Callithrix jacchus: one gene and its partner. The protein of the gene in region 2 interacts with the protein of the main gene of each other region in a pairwise test. Links are inferred from orthologs where the notes say so. Each region holds a gene or a part of one and is shown on either strand. Other genes may lie near its edges.

Evidence for each region. The genes of interacting proteins can lie anywhere in the genome.
Region 1: the proteins of CLEC7A (region 2) and BNIP3L interact in binary tests that used the Homo sapiens proteins (3 or more experiments, as listed by UniProt). The two-hybrid records come from large-scale screens. The link is inferred for Callithrix jacchus from reciprocal best matches to the Homo sapiens genes CLEC7A and BNIP3L.

The regions. Positions count from the first base shown.
Region 1 is NC_133514.1:15,168,875-15,172,531, forward strand, and holds part of BNIP3L (BCL2/adenovirus E1B 19 kDa protein-interacting protein 3-like), read right to left. Parts: intron 2,693-3,657; exon of another isoform or gene 2,627-2,692; intron 1,884-2,626; coding exon 1,700-1,883; intron 1-1,699.
Region 2 is NC_133510.1:12,875,795-12,879,073, reverse strand, and holds the end of CLEC7A (C-type lectin domain family 7 member A), read right to left. Parts: intron 1,838-3,279; coding exon 1,705-1,837; 3' UTR 534-1,704; downstream 1-533.

The sequences.
Region 1 (3,657 bases), on a different chromosome or scaffold from region 2:
CTTCAATGGTAAAGCGTGTGAGTCAGACATCCCAGGAGAGTGCTGCTGCACACTAGAGTTCTAGGCATTCTCTGAAAGACAACCACTAATCTAGGGCCCGGAGATACATAAGATGAGGGGTAGGAAGTGTTCAAAAGCACTTGCCATGCCTCCTTTTCACATGCTTTCACAACTTAAACACGATCATGGGAGGGTGAAGTCATATTCAATCACATGTAACAGGATGAACAGACAGGTAAGCAGGTGACTTTTCTTTGCTCGATGACACCACCATGTTAACAACAGGCTAATGGACACCGTGGTGTCAATGATCAAGGCCCATGCACTGGAATGCAGAGTGAAAGCCTTGCTGACAGGCCATTAACAAGCAGAAAACTTCAGACACCCATCGGCAAGTTCCATAATATAAACATGTATCTTCATTCGGAAAGACAGACTTAATGCTGTAGCTACTGGAATCAAGGGCAAGCTGTTCAGAAGAGAGCCATCTGCTGTGTTCTGCTTATGACAAGAGCCATCCCAGGCTCTAAGAAGCACAGGGACAAGTCAGGGATGACACGGGGGTGGCGGGGGTGCATAGTGTGCCACAGAGCCAGCAAACCAGTCCCCCGGCTGCCTTGGCAACATTAGTGGATCATAAGTCCCTCGGGAAGCTGGAATATAATTTAACTGATTTCTCCTTTTCGCTTCTTCTGGTAAGTAATAATATGTGCAATATACACAATTTTTACCAAATACAAAAATGTTAAGAAGAAAAATATCCATCCTGCATCCCTAAAGATAAGCACTGTTTACATTCCTCAGCATTTCCTTAATCTGCTTCCTGTGCGTTTGCTGTATGGTTAACATCAGCTAACAGCTACTCAGAAGGTCAGCCGGTGCCCTATAATGCTAACAGTGTAGCTGTCATTGAAACAAGAATTTTGTAAATGTCACTGAATATTCAGCCCCTCTGGAAAAAAAGAAAAGCTTACACTAAAAAATAATAACCTGGTTTCATTCCAACACATATATCTCACTGTAATCTTACTCTTTCACTATAAGCAGTCTTTAATCCATGGAATGAGCTTCCTCGGGTCAAATACAGAAAAACGGTCTGAAACAAAACATCTCTGAGAAAGGAGAAGGGCCTTCAAAACTACCTTTACAGACCTTGGCTGGCGCTTCCAACTGTGCAAATATTGCTATAATGTGAATCAACCTGCAGTTCCTATGGGTCAAACATTTACTTAGTGTCTATTATGTGCCAGCACCATTACCGTGAAGCTAATAAAGATGAAACATGGTCCCTGCCCTTTGAAGCCTCAAGATCTAGAAGGGAAGACAGATATACACAGAGGTAACTAATTCAAGGCAGTCTGTGATCTGTAAAAGAGGGACTCAAAGGAAAATGGGAGAAAGATTAATTCTATGAAGTAGCATTTATGCCACTGAATTTTAAACTGATAAACTGCTAAAAATAATGTAATCTGATTAAAAAAAGTGACAATCTGGAGAAAACAGGGGGCACTGGAACACCTGTCAATTAGCTGTCTGATATAAACACAATCTATGTATCTGTGGAATATATATTACACTGCAATATATCAGGAGGCATTTTTGCTAAGTGAAGATTTAAGCAAATAAATTTTTCCTAGAGATAATGAGCCCTGTAACCCACCCGTGTCCTGAATTCCACCAAAACACGGATCTCACTTACCTGTCACAGTGAGAGCTGCCTCTTGAACTACTCTGTCCTGATTCATGTTGTGCATCCAAAAGAATCTTCTCCATGTCTCCATTGTGAATGGAGGATGAGGAAGGCACATGTTCTAGCCCCCCATTTTTCCCATTGCCATTATCATTGCCATTGCTGCTATTCATGGGTAGCTCCACCCAGGAACCTGTTGGACAAGTCAGATAAGTTAACCACAGCAGAACTGAAATCTGTCATGTGCACACAGATGTGAATATGGTGAATCCAGATAAGAATTCTGACTCTCCTCAAACGAAATGCAAAAGTATTCTGAAGAAAAGAAAGAGTAATAAAAGTCTAAACATCTATTAAGTTCTGTTCCTGAAATAGCTCATGCCATCAGCTGAGAAGAAACGGGAACTCTAAAACATCTTGGAAAATGTGTTTTTCAGCCAATTTTCTCTTTTGTTAAACCTTAGTTTATAATAACACTTTACTGAAAACTCTGAGGTTGCTTTTAAAAAAAAAATAGCTACTTTTTTACTAGACAGGCTACTTACCTTTAATATTTCAGCTGGTGTATAGATATACGCACAGAGAGACACTTTCTTCATAGTCTACCTAAGCTACTCAGCTTTATCTGATTCGTAAATGAAACAGTAAGTATTATCAATTAGAAATTTCATAAAAGGTTATCTAAGTAAGTTAGCAACTATATCCTCCTTAGTGCAAACAACGGAGAAACTCCTAGAGAGGGAACTTAAATCCAGTAGCAAACATTTCAATTTGTGCACAAATCAGGAGCATAAAATTAAGGCAGCTGGTTAACAAAACCAGGTGATAATGCGAAAAATTCAGAAAAAAGCTTTAGCTCTATCTCACTGATTCGTTTCTTCATTTCCTTTATATCACTGCTAGAAGTCTTTCTCCTTTTTTATACACTAAACATACCTTGTGAACTTGTCTTTTTTCTCTTCTCTCCCACGAGTTCCTACTTTCTAGAGTTTTCGTTAAGCCCTGTTGATTTGGGGGCAGAAACAACTGCACATTAGCTACACGCAAACACGAATGTTTTCTTGGGCAAAAAGTTGAAGGGGTGGAGCCACAGAAAAAGGGGATGTGGCACTGGTAATTCTGCATAGGTCTTGAAAATATTGGCCCAGTAAGTCTGCTAAAAGTATTAAGGTGTTTTAATTTTAATAAGAGTTGAGGCCAGGGACAGTGGTTCACACAGGTAATCCCAGCACTCTGGGAGGCTAAGGCACCAGGATTGCTCAAGTGCGGGAGTTTTACACCAGCCTTGGCAACATGGCAAGACCTTGTCTCTACAAAAGAACAGTAAGAAAATAAGTAAAAGAATTGAAATAATTGTTAACAGTAGCCAATAAAGTAACTTCACAGCAAAAAGAGATAGTGGTATATTTTGTTAATCTTTTCCTTTTTTTTTTTTTTTTTTGAGACGGAGTCTGGCTCTGTAGCCCAGGCTAGAGTGCAGTGGTGCGATCTCCGCTCACTGCAATCTCTGCCTCTGAGTCTTCGTTCAAGCAATTCTCCTGACCTCAGCCCCACAAGTAGCTGGGATGACAGGCATGCACCACGATGTCTAGCTAATTTTTGTATTTTTAGTAGAGATGGGCTTTCACCATGTTGACCAGGCTGATCTTGAACTCCTGACCTCATGTTCTGCTCACCTTGGCTTCCCAAAATGCTGGGATTACAGGCGTGAGCCACCGTGCCCAGCCTCCATTGCTTATGATAAATTTTGTTTTAGAAAATGTAACCAAGCAGCTTGGTGGGGCCACCTCTCTAAACTCCCAGCAGAAGCATTAGAAAGAGTTCCAGGGATAAATAAGGATTTCTGTCAGTAAGATGAAGCAATCATCAAAACTGGCTCAAACTCCAAAACGCACGCTAAATGTGGTGATGGCTACACCAGATCCCGAATGAACTCAACATCGCCCTCACAAGAAGGAAAGCTCGCA
Region 2 (3,279 bases):
TGTGTACACCCATGTACACCAAAGCTGTCTGTTCTTTTAGAGACTATATTCTATGGAGAAAGGCAGATATATACAAGAAAGATAGTATGAAGCTGGTGCAAAAGTTATTGTGGTTTTTGACATTGAAAGTTTTTTCTTATGTCATTTTTTCCCTTTCTTTTTCTTATGTTTATTATATAGTACAACTATTTTTTTTATTTTACTTTAAGTTCTGAGATATACATGCAGAATGTGCAGGTTTGTTACATGGGTATACGTGTGCCATGCTGGCTTGCTGCACCTATCTGTCTCATCCCTTTCTACATATTTTTAAATAATGACAATATAAATTTGCATATTAAACAGTAGTAAACCTCACAAAAATCTTCATCTTCTCTTAGATTTAAAAAATTTTTAAGAACTCTAATTAATGCTTTAATATCAAAATATCTACTATAAATATTCCCTCCACCCACACCAAATTCATTTTTTGGGGAGAAGGCAAATCGTGATAGTGATTGTGACACATGGGCACATAATTTAGAGGCTAGGGGTTTTTTGATAAGAGTTTTCTTTTTTTATTGAGATGAAATCCACATAACATAAAATCAGCCATTTTAAAGTGAATAATTTAGTGAAATTTGTACAATTTCTTTTCACATATTAATTGACATTAGAGGGCTGCAAATGCCTCCCCAGTAATATAGAAATATCCACTGGAAATAAAAATAGCACCAGTGGGAAAGTATGAAAAAAAAGAAAAGAGACAAATCAGCACATGAGGAAATATAGTTTCATTCCAATAATACCTTTTTGCAGTAGTTACTGAAAAAAATGATAAAAATTATAAAACAGTACATCAGGAAACTAATAAAGCATGTTTCATATTACAAAATGTTAATGCTTGTTCCAATTAGATTGATTACTTTTTTATATTCATCAACAGACTTTGTGTATTTTTTGGTTGCTAGCGTTTAAAAAGCAGAAAACTTTCCTTTGAGAGCAGTTTCCATACTGCTAGAAGTTAAGGGACAAATTGTGGCAACAAACCATGCACTTCAATGGCATATTTGAGTACAAAAACAACTCTAATAGAGCCGGGAATTAAGATTATCTTATGGTTTATCCCAGGTAAATACCAAGTCAATGGCAAAATGAAACTTCAGGCTTGGGGCAAGGCGTGATGGCTTACATCTGTAATCCCGGCACTTTGGAAGGCCAAGGCAGGCAATCACTTGAGCCCAGGGGTTGGAGACTAGCCTGGTCAACATGGCAAAACCCAGTCTCTACAAAAAATACCAAAAGTTAGCCAGGCATGGTGACATGCACCTGTAGTCCCAGCTACCTCGGGGGAGCTGAGGTGAGGAGATGGCTGCAGTGAACCAAGATCGCGCCATTGCACTCCAGCCTGAGTAACAAAGTGAGATTCTATCAAAAAAAAAAAAAAAAAAAAAAAAGAAAGAAAAGAAAAGAAATTCAAGCTTGACTGCCCTGACTCCATGTCTAGAGATCTACTAACTAGAACAATAATACTGGCCTATGTGTAGGTCAACAAATACAGAAACCACAGCCTCCCCTTTCAATTTCTTGGGTACGATTACAGTTTGCCAAGCTCTCTGAACATTTTCTGCATTTATTTTGACTTCTGCTGTTACTCTTTTCTGTTCTGTTTTCTGTCCTCCTTACTAGCTCACGTATTTCTTCCCTCCTCCTCTACCCTATCCCTTACATTGCAAACTTCTTCTCACAAATACTATATGAGGGCACACTACACAATTGATCATAAATGATTGACACATGAATCCATACACAATTGAGAGATGAGTTTTCTTGGGTAGCTGTGGTTCTGATCTGAAATCTGTTAAAATAGAATACAATGATGTAATTAGAACAAATGTTAAGGAATACTGTCCACATGGCACTCAAATAAATTAGTAAGGATATTGGTGAAAAGAGTTCCGAAGTGTTTATATTATTGGAAAAAGGGGTTTAAATCTAAATTGTTTTTAATCTCAAGTGGTTAAATGAATAGTCTCCATTCTTAAGGCAGAAAAATGACACAATTTTTTTATTCAAGAAATAAGACTAGTTGCATAAACTTAAAAAAGATCCTGGCAAAGAAGAAAAATCATTTAATATTCTATTAAAAGTTCTTTATATATCTTTCAACCTATTACTTAGATGTTTCTTTATCAAATCAAGCAACAGCTCAGTGAAACTATTATTGAATATACTTAGTGAGTAGACCAAGCAGAAGTATTAATGCTGAAAGGAATCAAGAACTAAAAAAAAGAATCATAGATGCCTTTAAATCAGGTCATTTAAAGGAAGGGCAAACAACTCTTGTTTATTTTAATTTATCCTGAAAGCAGAATTATATCACAATACAATGCTTGACAGTTATGGTAATCAACATTGGTAAATGGAAGCACTGTCCTATTCAATTTGGTCTTCAAAATCCTGAAGGAGCAGTGTTAATTAGTCAAGCTCAAAGAGGATCACTGCACCTCAGTGCAAAAGCTATGACTTGGCGCTCTTTGTCTTGGGTATCTATCTCTTCTTCTTGACGCTGAGGTTGGAAGACTGAGAAACCTTTGCTCTAGAGATGACTAAGACTAGGATTAACTACTTAGTTTATACCTCAGGGAGAACGCTGATCAGCATTATTTTTAAAAATTTTTCCTTGACATCTAAGTGTTTTGGGGCTGGATTAAATAAATGCCACCAAGAAAACCACAGAGTACTAACATATCAAACAAAACGTTAACTTGGGCCCACGCTTGTGATTATAGAAAGAGTCCTCTAGCCATATGTTTAAAACAGCAAAAGAAAACTCAAGACAAACAAGTTCTATAAAAAAGTAGAAAATACATTTGGCCGATTGTTTGTTAATACATTCACTGTACTTGGCCTAGTAGAAGTAAAACAGTTAAGTGATTATACTCAGCAGTCGGTACCATTCACACCATTGGGTGAACAGACTCTGTGGTGAGAACAGAGGCAAATGAAAAAACACTTCGAATTAATTCTGCAAAGATTTTAAGATACAGTGTTAAACACCCTATAAAAAGCAATCTGACATAAAAGAAAACTAGTCAACACAAATGAAAAGTAGTAAAAAGAAAGAGAGAGAGAGAGACAGAGACATATATACATATAGGACATTGGAATTACATATAGACAGATATATACAGGACATTCAGACACATGCTAAAACAACTATGGTTAGTGTATTCTAAGAGTTAAAAGACAGTACTGAGAATGCTGGAAGGAAAATGGAAGTATAAGTGTTGAAAAAAT